Arabidopsis thaliana: one gene and its partners. The protein of the gene in region 3 purifies or fractionates together with the protein of the main gene of each other region. This does not show direct contact. Each region holds a gene or a part of one and is shown on either strand. Other genes may lie near its edges.

What was found. Proteins that work in one complex are often made in the same cells at the same time.
Region 1: the proteins of AT2G40360 (region 3) and AT5G15550 fractionate together in Arabidopsis thaliana (co-fractionation; one large-scale study listed by BioGRID). This does not show direct contact.
Region 2: the proteins of AT2G40360 (region 3) and AT3G26480 fractionate together in Arabidopsis thaliana (co-fractionation; one large-scale study listed by BioGRID). This does not show direct contact.

The regions. Positions count from the first base shown.
Region 1 is NC_003076.8:5,058,149-5,063,836, forward strand, and holds AT5G15550 (Transducin/WD40 repeat-like superfamily protein), read right to left. Parts: upstream 3,997-5,688; 5' UTR 3,856-3,996; coding exon 3,699-3,855; intron 3,457-3,698; coding exon 3,356-3,456; intron 3,242-3,355; coding exon 3,135-3,241; intron 2,800-3,134; coding exon 2,764-2,799; intron 2,650-2,763; coding exon 2,564-2,649; intron 2,431-2,563; coding exon 2,372-2,430; intron 2,293-2,371; coding exon 2,182-2,292; intron 2,074-2,181; coding exon 1,948-2,073; intron 1,817-1,947; coding exon 1,673-1,816; intron 1,540-1,672; coding exon 1,431-1,539; intron 1,340-1,430; coding exon 1,203-1,339; coding exon of another isoform or gene 1,167-1,202; exon of another isoform or gene 1,119-1,166; coding exon 1,083-1,118; intron 996-1,082; coding exon 903-995; 3' UTR 900-902; exon of another isoform or gene 786-899; 3' UTR 551-785; downstream 1-550. UniProt on the Arabidopsis thaliana protein: Required for maturation of ribosomal RNAs and formation of the large ribosomal subunit.
Region 2 is NC_003074.8:9,686,723-9,692,558, reverse strand, and holds AT3G26480 (Transducin family protein / WD-40 repeat family protein), read left to right. Parts: upstream 1-1,592; 5' UTR 1,593-1,731; coding exon 1,732-1,851; intron 1,852-1,940; coding exon 1,941-2,117; intron 2,118-2,207; coding exon 2,208-2,354; intron 2,355-2,427; coding exon 2,428-2,773; intron 2,774-2,898; coding exon 2,899-3,017; intron 3,018-3,097; coding exon 3,098-3,175; intron 3,176-3,297; coding exon 3,298-3,462; intron 3,463-3,542; coding exon 3,543-3,587; intron 3,588-3,690; coding exon 3,691-3,860; intron 3,861-3,945; coding exon 3,946-4,024; intron 4,025-4,113; coding exon 4,114-4,190; intron 4,191-4,270; coding exon 4,271-4,400; intron 4,401-4,487; coding exon 4,488-4,617; intron 4,618-4,699; coding exon 4,700-4,866; coding exon of another isoform or gene 4,867-4,890; intron 4,891-4,916; exon of another isoform or gene 4,917-4,941; coding exon 4,942-5,286; downstream 5,287-5,836. Other genes in the region: AT3G26470 (Powdery mildew resistance protein, RPW8 domain-containing protein), read right to left, coding at 5,659-5,836.
Region 3 is NC_003071.7:16,852,364-16,858,424, forward strand, and holds AT2G40360 (Transducin/WD40 repeat-like superfamily protein), read right to left. Parts: upstream 4,409-6,061; 5' UTR 4,273-4,408; coding exon 4,108-4,272; intron 4,022-4,107; coding exon 3,898-4,021; intron 3,695-3,897; coding exon 3,558-3,694; intron 3,464-3,557; coding exon 3,309-3,463; intron 3,230-3,308; coding exon 3,112-3,229; intron 3,021-3,111; coding exon 2,762-3,020; intron 2,671-2,761; coding exon 2,562-2,670; intron 2,475-2,561; coding exon 2,372-2,474; intron 2,292-2,371; coding exon 2,141-2,291; intron 2,059-2,140; coding exon 1,926-2,058; intron 1,848-1,925; coding exon 1,741-1,847; intron 1,641-1,740; coding exon 1,576-1,640; intron 1,500-1,575; coding exon 950-1,499; intron 846-949; coding exon 760-845; 3' UTR 517-759; downstream 1-516. Other genes in the region: AT2G40350 (Integrase-type DNA-binding superfamily protein), read right to left, coding at 293-321; LAC5 (laccase 5), read right to left, coding at 5,829-5,959. UniProt on the Arabidopsis thaliana protein: Required for maturation of ribosomal RNAs and formation of the large ribosomal subunit. Plays an essential role in cell growth and survival through its regulation of ribosome biogenesis and mitotic progression.

The sequences.
Region 1 (5,688 bases), on a different chromosome or scaffold from region 3:
GTATATTGTTGCATCTTTGGAAAAGCTTAGATAATTGGTGTCTAAAAGCTCTTTTGAAAGAACCTCTATTAGCTCATTCAATATTGGGACCGATGAGATTGATCCAAACCGAGTCGAGATCGAGTTCATCGGTCCCAATATTCAAAACGCTTAGGAAGATATATCCTTATTTCTTGATGGTTTTTGTTTACAACGTTGAACATGTTGGTGATGTAGCTTAAGGTGGAAGGTTCGAAGAGAGGTGGTTGGTTTCAGATGCATTGGCATTGGGGACAGGATTGGGATACTAATTTGAAGCTAACCGGAGAGAGTTTGTCCTATAATGTCACTACAAGTGATAGGAAATGTTTGGGCTTTCATGATGTTGCTCCACCTAATTGGCAGTTCAAACTTCAAACAACCTTACGATGGCAAGATTAACTTTTGATTGGGAATTATTTAATATAGTCCTTTTTTGCCAATGTATTCGATAATTTTCAGCACATGGTTTGGAATTGTATTATTGGGGAACGAAGATAGTAGAGTTTTGTAGTTGATGCTATTTTATTTTTCGGCCAAAGAAAAGCAAACTAATTTAGTATTTAGCACGGCAGACAACATAAGTAAATAGCTCTTGATTTTAAATGGTCGTTATCAGACAATAAAAACAAAATTTGCTTCCCACCAAAAGTATAATTAAGATTTAACATTTCGGAATATGAAGAGTATACAACCTTGAAGACAATAAGCTCTATTCAGCAGAACTTACAACAGTCTCATTCCAGGATCATGAATCGTTTGTGTTTCTGAGTAAGAAAAGAATCGAATTTTCTCAGACATCGTACGGAACTGAGTAAATGTTTCATTGCTCCACATTTCATGTAAGAAAAGAAATGGTCAAAAGATTTCGGATTTCATACCTTTTAAGAAATTGCGATTCCGGAAGAAATTCGCAAGTTAGAGTCTGCTCCTCCGCTGACTACACTCTCTCCTTTCCACCAGTCAGCAGATAAAACCTTTAAAACCAAGTTGTTTTATACCATTTCAGTAACAAGAAGAACTAAAAGAGTAGAAGCTGGAAGATAACATTGTGTTTACTTTACCTTGTCATTGTGTGTATCAATTACTGACAAAGGCCACTGCAAAAGGAGGAAGAAGATTAGTTTTTAAAGATAGAAAACCGTGGGTTATAACGGAAAGGAGTGTGTGTGCTTTGTCATTACAGCGGTTCTGAGATCCCAGAGCATGATTTTGCCGTCGTAGGAAGCGGAGAGCAAGTGAAACCAAGAGCTTTTGTGCCACTTACAGGCGGAAATCCATGATGAGTGTGAAGAGAACTGAAACACGGGAGCGGATGTTCCTACAGAGTAAATGAAGACAGTTTATCAACTGTGTAATAAAAAACCGGTCTGGTTATATTGACTTGGTGTGTGTTCATATGGATCTATCACCTGGCTTACGAGGATCCCATACTCTAAGGATTGGATCTGAGCCACCAGCAGCTATAAGGGCAGAACTTTCACCACCAACATCTACCGTGTTGAGAGCTTTTCCACAGAACTACAATTTCACAGAAACAAACCGGCTTTAAGTTTCCGGCGAAAACAACTTCAAAAGCACTGATTTTTCGGCAACAACATGTCTGGTGTGTGCCCTAATATTTACGAAAGAAAAGGAGAGAGAGAAGGCATACCAAGTTCAAAGAATCTTTCCCTGTCTCAACATCCCATCTCCTAACGGAATGGTCCCACGAAGAGGAATAAATTACATCATGCTCTGGCCAAACAACTGATGATACACACTGTGTGTGTCCAACCAAAGAAGTCACTGCCTCTCCCTGTAAGAAGTTCAATATCGTAATTGATATCAGACACTTGGAACTCAGAAAAACACAACTGGGAGTACATTTCTCTATTTTGATTTGAAGAGTAGATAGTACGTTTCAAAAGAATGCATATTATCCGGTACCTCTGACTGAGATTCCTCGGCCTGATTATTTCCTTTTCTTTTCTTTACTGATACTGACTCCCCTTCTGAAGTAGATTCATTTGTGTTCCATAAATTGATGGTGCAATCCCATGAACTCGAGCAAACCTAAATTCCATTATACAACAAAAAAAGGGGGTCAGCTTAGCTCGAAGAAATATAGCAACAAAATTATACTTGCAAAACACAAGTTAAGTGAAAGGAGTAACAGCAAACCATGTTTCCGGATTTCTGAGCTGAAACACTTTGAACTGACGCCTTGTGTCCACGCAATATCTTGTATGCCCTTACTTTCGTAGTAGAGTCAACAGACTCAGCTGGATCAAACTTCAGACAGGGAGAGATATCTTTACTTAGACGTAAAATAAACCTTTGGTTTTAAGTATGATATCTCATCCGTGATTACCTTAAACAATCTCAATGTCCGATCTTTAGAGGCAGTGGCTACAGTAACAGTTTCTGCATCTGGATGCACAAATCAACACAAAGAAAAACAAAGAATTGATCAATGAGCCAAAAAAGGGAAAATTTATTCTTGTTAGTATCATTTGCTAGTACAGAACAGGCATAGTATAGATTTCTCATGCGATGGTCATACCGTTGGAATTAACTAAAGCAACAGAGGAGATAGCCCCGGAGTGGCCTTCTAATATGTGTGAACACGATCCAGCCGAACTCCATACCCTGATCAGAAGAAAAACCAAGTAATCTAAGATTCTTGCAAATTTTGAAAGCAATACAAAAGGATAGAAAATAATCAAAAGCATATAAGATTAAATAAATAAGTCAAATGATCACCTTCCTAATCCGTCATAGCACCCAGTCAAAATGAACCTGCAAATAACAACAGCGAGATCAAGAGAACCACTAACACAATCATTAAAACCAAGAACAAATGACTATATTCATCCTTAGATATCATCCGGATCACTGGATGGCCTTGAATTGGAACAAATGAAGACTAATTCTAACAACATATGATATGGCAGTCGAATATATTAAACAAAGATACAGGTCTATGATTTTCCATATGGCAAGGTGGTTGTGCGTAAAAATGAATAAGAGTTTTTAATTCAAATTACTGGTGTCACAGAAGAAATAGTAAAAGACATCTAGCAGCTTAAAGGAAATTCTACATCATAAAGTAATGCAGTAGGAAAAAATATTACCTGGGAGAAGAACCATTAACCGCACTGACCCAATCATCATGCAAGGAGGGTTCTTCTTCCTTCCGTGGTGTCACAGCCCTTATGTATTCGATTTCAAGAGTACGCTCCTGTAAGAACCAATGAACTTAATTAAGTATATGTTTCCAAGATAAAGCACTATGGACTAATTCCAAGTACACTAGCTGGTGTGAATAGTGGAAGATTAAGATGAAACACATTACCGCCGATATTCCCTTTGCAAGAAGAAACTCTTCGAGTGACATCCGAATAAGCTCCCCATCAATAAGGAAATCAAACGGCTCAGTTTTCCACTCTGGATTCTCTGTTCATCCAAAAAGTCTCAGTGATGAATATTGCATAATCACAGGTAGAACAATAATATATGCTTTTATGTAAGCTCTCTAATTCATAAGTACAAACAAGTTCCTAAGCAGACCTAACAAACTCTCGTATGAGAAAGAGACCACTATTCCAAGTAACACTTAGGATTTGACAAATTTAAAGACAAAGACGAATAAATACTAGCATTCGAAACTGCAGGGAGAGATGGAGAGAAAAGGCTACCGGATTCGATAATAGAATTGACGATGGAAGAGAGGCCGAGACGAGTGACATTAGAAGGGATTGCGACGGAGTTGACCGGAACTTTGAAGGGAGAGTCAAGCTTCGTCACGAACTTAACGTGAAGTCTTCTAGATACATCTTCTCCGTCGATATCCATTTTAGCCTCTTAACTTCTCCGATGGCCTGTTACTGAGCAAAAAGAAGACGCGGAGATAAATTAGGGTTCTGCCTTGAGGCGATGAAGTGTGGAAATTTCACCCAGGCACAGGGTTTAAGGAAATTTAAAATTACGGAATTGACCTCCTTTTCCGGTTTAGATCATACCGAGGCTACTCAAACCAGAGAAATATGTGGTTCGACGAGTGAGAAGAGATCAATTTTGGGCCCAAAGCATTTGGATCTTTAAGATGGGCCGGCTCAGGCCTCTGTTTATACTTTTATATAAACCAAACCAAACCAAACCAAAGAAAATTGAAATAATCAAACTGAACCGAGTAAAATATTTTTCTTATCTTTTATATAAACACTAGATAAGGCCCGCCTATTTAGGCGGGTGTACCGAAAATTTTCAAATACTTGAACGGGTCTAAACTTCAAAACCCGAAAAACTCGAACCCGAACCCGAATAGATATCCAAACATATTTCAAATATAAGTATATATTAGTTATATTTATACTTATATATAGAAAATATTAGGATTATTTGGATATTTTAGTTATTTTTGTGTCATTTTAGATATATTCAAGCAAAACTACTCGTGTTGTTTTGGGAATTTTTGAAATTTTCAAGTAATTTAATAGATTTGCACACAAAATTTGATATTTCAATATATAAATAAACTCGAATCCGAACCCGAACCCGACCCGGAATCTTAAATTACCCGAACGGGTCCTAAACTTCTAAACCCGAAAACCCTAACCCGAAATACCCGACCTGAATACCCAAACGCCCAGGGCTAATAATTAATAGAAAAAAGAAATCCACAAAAAAATTTAGAAACCAAACATTGTTAAAAAATATATTTTCTATATATGGCGTAATCTCGTAAGTTAATTTTACATCATGCAAATTAATATTAAATGAGTTAAAGTTAATAAATGAAAATAATTGAAAAGTTAAATCCTGTAAGCTAAACTATTTTTCTCAAAATGTTTTATTTTCACTTATGATTACATGAGTTAAAGACAAATTTGTTAATTTTCTTTTTGTTGAATAAATGTCCCGAAACCTTAAATTACCCGAACGGGTCCTAAACTTCTAAACCCGAAAACCCGAACCCTAAATACCCGACCCGAAAACCCAAACGCCTAGGGCTAATAATTAATATAAAAAAAATCCACAAAAATATTTAGAAACCAAACATTGTTGAAAATATATTTTCTATATATGCCGTAATCTCGTAAGTTAATTTTACATCATGCAAATTAATATTAAATGAGTTAAAATTAATAAATAAAAATAATTGAAAAGTTAAGTCCTGTAAGCTAAGCTATTTTTCTCAAAATGTTCTATTTTCACTTATGATTACATGAGTTAAAGACAAATTTGTTAATTTTCCTTTTGTTGAATAAATGTTAATTGTTTATAAATATATAGACATATAAATTAGTATATGTAAATTTGTTTACTTTTTAAGATTTTCTATTTTTTTAGAGAATTAAAAAGTTAAATTTTGAATGACACATGTAAACATCTGATCGTTTGACTTGACACGTGGCACAATCCTATGAGTTAGCAACTTTGAAAACCATACTTTATATAATAAAATCACCAAATTTATTTTCTTGTTGATTAGTACATGTATTTAAGTTTTTAACCCATACTAATGACTTTTGTTTTTTTCCTTCTCGAGATTACTTACTTTTTGCTAAAAGTGGTGGAGTGGTCAATTTTGTTTTTTTGGTAAAAGAGTGGTGGTCAAACTTTGTTAACTACGAACTATTTTTGCTTACATAAATCCTAAATCGTTCCCGTGCACTTAACAACAGC
Region 2 (5,836 bases), on a different chromosome or scaffold from region 3:
GCCCAATAAACAACAGGCCCAAGCGCAGACCCTAAACAACTCTCAGCTCCAACGGTCATCTCCTGCAAAAGAAGACAAAACCAAAAGTACATCAAGATTGGATCAAAGGACAAAAACAAGGAGCTGTGCTGGAAAAGAAGGAGTGGTTTTACAAAACTGTTTTGACTGTCTAGGATCAATAGAGACCTGACATGTGTCAGTGAAAACCCTAGTGTCACTAAGATTATAATGCCTATGAAAGGAAACATGATGTAATCTTAAACCCTAAAGAGAATAATCAAGAGAAATGAAATTTATCTTCTTTATATTTAGCCTTTGAGCATCTTTACTTTCATTGGTTAAGAGAACACTGAAAGCAACAATTCATATGTATAAAAATCTGAAAAAATAATTCAACATTCTAATTCATTAAACGTAGGATTTACAAAAGTCCCACTTTGTCTCCCATTTTTAGTCATCGTTCATGATGGTTGTATGCGAATAGTTTGATGAACAACTATAATTATTACATTTAGTTTGTTTCCAACGAGCCATATGTCAATGTTTGTTACGCTACAATTTTTATTTTTCTTATTTCTTAAACTTTTTACTTTGGAATAAGTTGATATGTATATGAATCATCTACCATTTCTCGTTTTTTCACAATAAATCCTAAATTTTTTGAACATTTTGTCTATATATAACTTTTCCATGACATAAATTAACCTTAGATAATATTGTATCTAAAGGTATAAACTACCGTTCCAAGTCTGATTAAACTATTGACCCTAAACATTTTTAAAACTGTTAGATCCACAAGACGCACAACTAGTTGATTGCATAGTCTTTTGAAACAAGACAAACAAACACTATATCAAAACAATATCATCTTTCTAATTTTATTTTAGTTATGTCGCTATCTATATGAACGATTTTCCGATAAGCTAGTCATATGCAAAAGATTTATAAAAAAAGTAATATGTTGACGAGGAAAGTGATAGATTGATAAATTAAGAACATAAATGTTTTTGAAAAGAAATTATAGCTAAACTGTCATAAAATAAAATTATAAAATAGATTAACTTATATATAATAGAAGCAACTTCAGTTTTTTAAAACATTCATGGAATTAACGATGGATATCGAAGTTTATTGGTCAACCTAAAATCATACCCATACATTTTAGTATTTATTGGACGACCTCAAAAATCAAAGTCATTGTCGACCATTGTAATACAGTTAATGTCGCATACTATGCCTCTGAATCATCCATCCATATTTTGTTAAAACGAAGTGAGTTTGTTAACTACAAAATTTCCAATTATTGGACTATACATTATATTTTGTTTATCCACAGGGTTTTTCACATAAATTAAGAAAATACAAAATACTTAAGATCTTGAAAAATTATGTAAGTTATTTTCTTGCCGTCTCATTTTATTAAAGATAAAACAGAAAAAATAAACAAACAGGCCGAGGCCCAACAAGGTCAAGGCCTAGTCCAAGAAGCGAAACCCAAACATGGAGGAAGAGAATGAGAGGAGTCATCACAGAGCCAGGTGTTACGAAGAAAGTGAAACTACAAGTACAAGCATATAGTACTAAGTACTAGTCGCAATTTGGTCACAGACATAATTTCCTCGAAAACTGGGTACATTGTAATATTTCGTCGGAAAAACGTCGCAAAATCTAATTTTTAATCGCCGAGTAAGATGTTTGCGTCTTCTCAGAATCTCCGTGAGTTGAAGGAAAATGATTCGCGGCGGAAGAAACAACATTACTTCCGCTCCGGCGTTTTCGAAAGACGCAAAGAAGCTTCTTTTATGCACAGCCAACACCGTCTCTGTTTACAGCGTCGCCACTGGCTTAAAGGTTTTATCTCTCGACTCGAGCATCCTTCCTTTTAGGGTTTCCCTCTAATCTTCTTCTCTCATTAGCGTATGCGTGTGTGTGTTTTTAAGATTACTTCACTCGAGGATCATACAGCGCCTGTGACGTCTGTGATTGTTGATCCGTCTTCCGACGAAACCGTCAGTTACTGTTGGACTTCGTCGCTCGATGGGAAAATTCGGATTTGGGAGTTCTCTGCGCCGAAGCTTTTGAAGATATTTGATACCCACCTTCCAATTCACTCTCTGGTCTGTTAAAGTTCCATACTTTGCAGCTTATAAACAAAAATTTGATAACTTTCAATTGCCCTTTTCTAAGTGTCTGTTGGGACTTTGTAGGTGATGATTCCAGCTCAAGTGTCACATTCCGTGATTGCTTATGTTTCGGTTGAGGACTATTCAAGTGTGTCCAAAGATTTGTTTGGACAAATCCGGAGATATGATCTCACTCAAGACCCTCTTCATAGTGGAGACACTTTGAAAGAGGTCAGATTTGTGGATTAACCATTTTTCGATTAGCCTCATGTTTGATTCTATAATCATTTTTGTTAATGTGCAGATGGAAGAACCAAAACCTATTGTTTTAAGTCCCTCTGGAGAGTTTTTCGGCGTCTGTCATAACTGCAGTATACATATATGGAATGTGGCATCAGAGCACCTCATGCCAAAGGAGACGACATTACATCATACAGAGTTGATTACTGTTTTTGCTTTCCATCCCAATCAGAGAATATTAGCAGCCGGTGATGTAACAGGAAGAGTGTTAATTTGGAAGGATAATGGTATTGGAGAATTTACTTCAGTGAAAACTGAAGATGATACTGAATCTTGCACTACTTTCAACTGGCACAGCGCTGAAGTAACCGTCCTTAATTTCTCTTCAGATGGAGCACTTTTGTATTCTGGTGAGTCTGAGTTATTTTTTCATCATAGTGACTGTATCTCTGTGTGTTGATAAGGAATTCATGTTTCTTATATATATATATATTGAGTTCTTATGCTATATTTCCTTTGCTTGTGACTCTTTTAGGGGTAAAGGCAGGTGATTTTGTTGTTTGGGAGCTAGGTACAGGGAAGAAGCAACTTTTGCCAAAGATTGGATCTCCCTTGTTGTATTTCATCTTCTCTTCAGATTCAACTCTTTCTTCTGTAAGAGTTTTTCCGTTTACAACAACCGTAGAAAGCAAATGAAGTGTTTCATTAACTCTACTAAGATCAAGAATTTTCAGGTGATTTGTGCAGATAATCAAATTCATCTTCTTAAAATGCCTTCCATGGAGATATTGAGAACGATATCTGGAATCAAGGTTCGTTCTTACTATCATCCGAAATTTTTCCTTGTTATTGTTGGTTTAAGCATGCTCATATTGTATACCGTTTCTGTTGGAGTTAACTTCACATGCATATTGTGTTCTTTACTATGTAATAGCCTCCGACACCAGAGCGTCACGGGTTTATATGCTACGTCAAAACGCGGGATATATGCCTCACCAGAACTGTATCCATTGATCGTTCTTCCGGTATAGCTGCTTTCTGCACAGCGAATCATCGTGTTCAACTCTACAACCTTTTAAGTGACCATGACATTTCAGAGGTTAGCTTCCCAAAAGGCTTATTGAGTTTTGTATCTGATAGTTGTATGATTTTACTATTTAACAAACCTAACATATGCAGGTTCAAATTTGCGATCATCATCCAGACGATGATGATCAAGTCCGGGTTAGTACATTTTGTTTCTTCTCTGTAAGATGACATAGTTGTTACTAGTAAAAGATCCGCTCTCTTTCTGTTTTGTAATAATTTGAAGAATTATGGAAAATAGGTTCTCGTGACTGCGGTTGCTCTCTCTCGGAATGGCTCAGTAATGACTACAGCTGAGGCCAGATTTGCTGCAAGCAATTTCAGTGAAGGCATAGTTTCTCTCAAGTTTTGGGTATTTGTACCGGACAGCAAAACTTTCAGCTTATCGACAGTCATAAATCAACCTCACAGGTTTTTACTTCAATGTTCTTATAAACTTTTAAACTCCTTGATTCTCATCGTGAGTGTAACTTTTGATCCTTCTGTATTCTCACAGGGAAGCTGCAATTACAGCCATTGCCCTTAACCCCGCCCGTTCCATGGCTGTTAGTATATCTTCTGCTGGGGACTTCAAGGTAGGATTACAGAGTAGTGAAAAATGGATCATTTCCTTGGAATATCGTTTGACCTTTTGTGTTACTGATATGACTTTATGTCTGTCAAGATTTGGGTTTGCAGTAGCGACAAGAATCTGACACCTGAGGACTCAAACTGGATTTGTCATGGAGTTGGCTCTTATAAGTAAAAGATTAGGAACCTTTTAACATCTCTCATTACTTAGTCGTTGTGATGTCAAATGAAATTGATGTAATATTTTTCAGGAGAACGCCAATAACAGCTGCTGTTTTTTCCGGGGATGGTTCTTGTCTGGCTCTTGCGGCTAAAACAGTTATTACGATCTGGCACCCGTTAAAGAACGAACTCCTGTATGTAGTTGGAAAGGCAAATGCGGTAAGACTTGTATAACACACAAAAGCAATTCCATGTTCATTAGTTACAGTCATTGTTGAAATCTTAAATGATATGTAAATGTTTCAGCCAATTATGGAACTCTCATTCACTGGAGGAGGCTTCCTTATTGCTGCATCCCATGGTTCCACACCGCACTTATCTGTCTGGGATCTGATGACGTTCTGCTTATCATGGTCATATAGATTATACATAGAAGGTTTATTATTTATCTTTTTGATCATGAAATCTTGATTTTTTTGGTTGTCTAAGTATATTTCATTTTTCCTGTTTATTTGCAGCCATTGCTACTGAAGTGGACTCACCATACTTTGCAGTTTTAACATGGCTTCCAGAATCTGATAGGTTGGTAAAATCTAACGAACAGATATTCCGCGGGAAAGATGGTGCTATCCTCTTGTTTGATGGGTCAGGCCCTAAACCAGTAGCTATTTGGACTGTAATGAAGGTATATACTCTAAGGAAGGATTAATCAAAGTTCTCTCATTGCCGTTAAGAGACTTGATTACAATGTTTATTGCAGGCCAGAGGAGGAACACTTTCATTTGTGGAAGATGGTAAAAAGTCTCAGCCGCTTCTCGCGTATGTAAACAGGAGCCATGAATATGTTCTATTTGATCCTTATAGCGATGAAAAACTCGAGACTAGCGCCATAGATTATGAAGTTTTTCTTGCAGCAATAAGCAAAAAGAAGAAGAGATCTAGGAAGAAAGCATTGATGTCAGAGAAACCTTGGGAAACAATGTTTTGTGGATCAACACTCAATTTCCCGCCTTTCCCCGACTTGTGCGCTTCGTTCTTCAGTTCCCGGATGCAGAAAGAGGTGTGTGAGAGAGCAGATAGACAACCTGAAAGACATAGCTCTTGAGAGACCCCATATTTTGGAACCCAACTTGGATAACATCATTTTGTTGGTAGCCTTTTTGTTAGAGATACAATCTGATTCCTTCAGCTACTAAAAGGGTTGTTTTGATATTAAAAGGGCTTCATTCATCATGTAGAACCTGCTGATTTGAGGTGTATAAACCAATTCTCTCTTTAATACGTAAAAAAGTAAGGTCAATTGTAACGTATGGAAAAAGAAGAAGCTAAAACAGAGTAGTGGACGATAAATTATATTTAAAATTGTGACTGAAACATAATTTAACAAATTGAAAAACATAAATCGAAAGCAATTTGTGTTTTAAAGATCGTAGTCCGCAAGGTTGAGTGGGTTGCAAGTATCCTAAGTCGTATGTGGTCAAGCAGGAGGATTCATGGAGGCTGCAGGAGGAGACATCATCGGTAGGAGGGTCTCGGGGTCAAAGCCGTTGGCTCGTAGTAAGACATCTTGCGCTCGCTTCATCGCAAGCATGTTGTTGATGACGTTGTTGGAGAAGGTGCGGAATTCAGCCTCCAAAATGGTGACCCGCATATCC
Region 3 (6,061 bases):
TCCAAGTCTCTTAACCCCACACGAACTCGAAGCCACAAATCGCACAGAACGTAATCCAAAAGAGACAAATTGTGCCCAAAATTAACAAATTTCTGTCTACGAAAAACCCCAAAAACCCTAAAGTGAAAACCTTCTAGCTTTCAACTACTAAACAAACAAAAGAAGTTACTTTAAGGAACTTGATACCACTCAAAAACAACAACAATCCTGTAAAAACAAAATCTTTAACAATGAACAATTAGCACACATACACAAGCGGGAAAACAAAAACAAAAAAAACGGACAAACAAACCTGTCAACAATCTCCGACGCTGACGGCATGTCAGCAATCACTCGAACAAAGTAGCAGCTGAAGAAGAAGAAGAACCCAAACGATTCAGTGTAATAGTAGATTAGTAGTAGCAAAGAAGATGGCTTTTTTCGTTAGCAGAGAAAAAAAAAGGTTTGGGATTTGTGAAAGAAGAAGCCTTTATTAGATATTTCAGATATTTCGGTGATGACGTGGCGCTTGTGAGTGAACGTTAAAAAACTATCAAATCAACATTTGGGTTTAAGGACTTGCCACAACTTAACCAACGCTGCCAAATAAATCGATACAATAAGATTTTGGACTTTACCATTTTGGAAGTGCTACAAGTTAGAAATCTCAATAATAAATCCAGTATAACAAAATTGTACGATACAATATTTGAGTAAAGGTGGTGAATACAACAAAGAAGAAAAGAGATGAAAATTGTCAAAATATGGTTTGCGACCAATCTAGTGGCAATAGAGTTTGATAATAGAGTCAGCGCCTGCAGTGAATAGCCATGGTTGTCTCGGATGAAACTTGCAGTCCAAGACTCCTGCAGTCATAAAAAATAATCAAAACACATTAATATAAACGATCTTACAAGTTAATATGCGATAGTGTATTCTTGTAAGAATCAAATACACTGTAAAAACTGACCTCCTTTTGAAGAATGACCTCTTAGAATCTCCAATGGCACAATCAGAGGATTCTGGTTCAGATCATTATACACCATTCCATGGAAAACATAAGCTGTTGAATCCTCCGAGCACGAAGCAAATAACGGATATGATCGATGAACTGCCACATTTGTAATGTCTTTAGGATGATTCTTGAGAGTCTTGTATGGTTTCGAAGATAGATCCATGTCAAACCAACACATCTTCCCTTCTTTGCTTCCTACTATCAGATTATCACCACCAGGATGAATCGCCATTGATGAGATTTCTCTCAATCCTGTCTCAAGCTTTTTGGTGGCCTCGCCTGGCTTCAAAAGATTGTAAACACGCACGTCCTTTCTTGTCGCAACGAAGAAGTAAGAAAGGCTGGGATGAAAAAGTGTACAGACTGGAAGTCCACGAATCTTAAATGGGAGCCTTTGTGTTTTCTGTTTTGACAGTTGGTGCAATACCACTCCCCGTGTTTCCCCGGATGCCATCACTGTTGAGAGATAGTCTCCTTTACGATGCCAGTCAATAGACGATATGCTCTGAAAGTAAACAAACCAGTTTAAGATTTTCCTTATGTAATAACTGTTAAAAGGAGAATCTTTTGCAAAAGTGTACCTTAAAATGTCTTATCTTAATCCCTCCATATAACTCATCAGGTAGCCAGGTTACAATTGCTGCAACTATGAAGTCGTGCAAAACATACCAACCAAAAAGATTTAATCATTTGGAATTTCATCACAATTACATACGAGATGATGGCAGTTATTCCAAGCCACTTACCAGATGCGTCTGGTTCTGGGATGTTTCCTGAGTGAAGCCTCTCTTTAGTAATTTCCTGTTCCTCATCAGTCCCAAGTTCAGTGTTCAGAAAAAACAAATCTCGTCCCCTGCAATGTGAGATGAGAAGGTTTCACAACAGACAATTATAATAAATTCAAAAGCATATTCACAAGATCCTCACTCACATGGCAACGGCTAAAACTGGAAGCCTGGAAAGAGGATTCCAAGCCACACACATGATAGCTTCGTCAAACTGCCAGACCTTAAGGCATCTACCAGTCTCCACTTCCCACATACGGACAGATCCATCAGTTGAACCTTTGAAGGAAAAAAGAATACAAGATTAGCATCTTGAAAACAAAAGAGACCTCATTGAAAAAAAAAAAAAATAATGAAATACCTGAGGCTATCCACTCGCCAGAACTATCAGTGGATATTGAAGTAACAGCCCCTGTATGGCCTTTATATTCAAGATAACAGGAGTTAGGATAAGGTCTAAGATCCTTCCTACTAGGTAGCTTAGGCTTCAAAGATTCAGGGTCGATGTTTATCTGGAGAAAAGAAACATAATGTAAGAAAAAATACGGGAAAAACAAAGAAGAAACCAAAAACTGAGATGATAAGTACTCACTCTCTTCTTTCGAACTCTTGGACATAGGTATAGATCCAAACAACGCTCAAAAGACTCCTTCAGTGCATTCTCATACGCAGGGATGCTTCTCAAAGATGTAAACCTATGCGCAGATATATTTACTGAAACGCTCAGCGGACAAATACCAAAGAAACTACATTAGAGTAGAATAAGCGAAACTGTTACATACCTTGTAGGAATGAATTTTGGACGATCTTCCTCAAACATCAACTCATATGAGGCTTTCTCCTCCTCTGTTGGAATATATTCCAAAGAAGGATTGTATGATTCATCGTGTCCTGGAAAGCCAAATAGTACAAATTAAAAGTTTGAAAACGGAATTCCCAAGAGAGGAAGAGAAACAACAGAAAGTCAGCGAAAAGTTTTCACCTGGCAATTTAAGCTTGGGTGGAGGAATATAAGTTAAATGCTTGCTCTTTTGATCAGATGTCGAATCATCACCCCATAAAAGGTATACATTGGGCTCTTCTTCAGGCTTATCAAACTTGATCCACCCCTTACGTATTGCTCTAACAATCTTAACAACCTTTTTGGCCTCCCATTTTGAAGGGATGAATCTTCGCTTGGGCTCTGGTGCACTTGAGAGTGGATGTATTGCATCATCATGTTTGAACCACTCAACATAAGGCTGGTCCCAAGAGAATCAATCAAAAGGTCACAAATTGAAGAGATTTGCATAACATTAGTAGAAAACGGCTACACATAAAACAGATACGTACTGCATATGGATCAAAGTCCGCATGTGGAGCTTCCCCTTTGAGTATTCTCTGAACGATCTTGCTCTCCTCTTTAGTCAGCTCAACGTCCTCGTCATTATATTCATCATAAATTTTGCGCCTAAATCCCCAAAAACTTTCATCAGCATTATGACACCAACTAACCACATACCAACAAACAGAAAAGTCTTCATACTGACCAAGTCTTAGAGTCATCTATAGTTGCAAGAAAAGAGTCGAGTTTATCTTGTTTTTCTTTCTTAGTAATCTTCTTCCCAGTGAGGTCATAACCAATATGTTTCTCATCTTCATACCACTTTAAGGGAACATTCCCAACTGTATTTCTAGATGGAACCTACAGATTAAAGATACAAAAATATCTATAACTTCATCTGGAAATGGAGAAAGATAGATTCAAGACCAATATGAGATAGAGAAAAGCATCAAACCTCATCTTCTGAGGAATCGCTCTCTTCAACCGCTTCACCTCGCTCAGAATCTTCATCACTCCCATGTTCCTCATTATTGTCACTACCTACATGTTCACTTCCATCATCATCCTCGTTATCAATTGACCCATCATGCTCTGCACCAACATATCCTAACATAGTTAATCTCTCTTACTTGAATTTACTTTCCCATGTTAAAGCTAGAAACTTTATTCCCCCATTATAAACTCCCGCAAGTATTTTCTAACACACTATAATTAGCTTCTTCAATTCAAAAGCATAAACACTAAAAATTTAAGATTTGAGCTAATTTAGACGAAAAGCAGAGTAAGAAAAGTACCAAGCACGTCGTCGTCATCGGAAAATTCTACATCTCCATCTTCTGTTCCTTCATGTGTTCCATCATCCTCTGAATCGGAAAAATCGGAGTCGAAATCGTCGGAATTCAAAGAACCAGGCAAACTCTAAAAATCACCCAAAAAAAAAAAACCAGAATAAATCAAATGCAGAATAAAGATGTTACAAAAGAGAAGAGGAGCAAGAAGAATACATCTCCGTCGTAATCAGAATCAGTTCCGGATGCTTGTAGAAGGTCTTCCTCTTTTAAGCTTTCTGCTTCTACTGGTTTCTTCTGTTTCTGAGATTTTCCAGAAACGTTTTTGCTTTTGGTTTCTATCAGCTTATCTTCGTTAGCTCCTTTGCTCCTCTTCGTCATCGGAGCTTCCAGAGGCGAGTTTTGGCCTGAGAAGAAATTTGTTTTAAGAAGGCAAGGGGATGCGTAACAAGAGATTTAGGGTTTTAGGTTGAAGTCGTAACTCTCTAATGGGCCTGAGAATAATTTTTTATTGAACAAGGCATGGGAATGCGTAACAAGAGATTTAGGGTTTTAGATAATGGACCTATATACTAATGGGCCTTTCGTGAAGACGATAAAAGAAAAAATTTAAAACCTTTGTGGTGGTGTTTGATGAATGGTGAAAAGTGAAAACGACAAATAGACTTTTTGGTTGTGATTAAAACTTTTTTATTCTTCTTGGTTGATCCAATTCTAAAGTGTCTGATAATAGTTATATATCATGATTTTCGCCAATATAAATTAACAATTATTAAAATTTGTATAATAGATATTATCTGGTTAGTGAATTTTAAAATATATATGTTAGGTTTTAAGATGACAAATGAGTTTAGTTTGCTATTTATTTTAGTATTTAATTGGTTTGCAAATGCCTTAAAAATTTATGAATATCTATCATGTAAAAGATCAATTATTCTTTTATATATTTTGCGTGTTTATAGCTAAGCTCACACTCGCGACCTAAGTTTTATTTTCTACGGTAAGATTTAGTTTGGATTTTCACCTTTTTGTATGGATTAAATCAAATATGACAATCGGAGTTCTTACAAATTATTACACGTTAATTTCTTGTCTACTCTAATATTTCGGTAGATTAGTGGCAACATGCATGTGTAAGAATTATATTATTATTATCATTTGTTACATTTGTTATAAAATTAGCCCTCTGAGTACTCAAAAATATAACAAAGTCATGACAACTTTTGTTTCTTCTAGTAATGTCGATGTTATGATTAATCCGCGTCGGAAATCACTTTGCCCCAAACTTTTCTGCTCAACTAATTTGGAATTTCAGGCCACTTTTTCTTGATGTCATATTCACTTATTCTTTTTCAATTAATTTCGTTATCATCTTCTCAAGTTCAAATTCAATAATGTTACGTAAAAGAATAATACTCATCAATTCATAGCAATGCGTTTTAAAACAAAATGGAATTAGGATAAGTTTCTTTCTTTATAACTTCAACATTCAATATTGACTCAGCAAATATTACGCCAACAAATTATGTTGTTTATTATGATCGCAAAAGTTCTAAGCTGATTATGGAAATAAGTAGGAATTTAGCTCAACAACCATTCATTCTAATTCTAACATATCAAATTCATGCTCTTAGTCATACACAAATCGAGTGAATGAAACCTTTTAACAAAAAAAAAGAAATCGAAGTAATGGGTCAATTAAGCATAAAGAAAAACGAAAAAAATAAACTTTCATGATACGTATGCTTAGGCTCTTAGCACTTGATTTGGTACTATAATGTCAAAAGAATACATCAATAATCGAGAAAACTTAATCTGAAGGGTCCGGGCCAACTCAGGAGTATGACCCGGTTTACGTCTATAACCAACAAAAAACAATTGAATAGAAGAACATGAAAAACTATAATGTGGTTTTATGTTACAAAGTTCTTGAACTCCTAACAAACGGGCAAATCATGAGGAGGCTGTTCTATTGTCTGCAAAACTCCATTTCCATTCTCAACCAAAAAAGCCATGGCTAGTCCCCACGATATGTGTGCATCTAGATGACAATGCATTATCCAGACCCCTGTTTTCAATCATTTTTACACGTATTTAGTTTAGGGACTAGTCTCGATATATATATAATAAATTAACGAATCATGTAAATTTTATAGCTAAACTGAAAAGC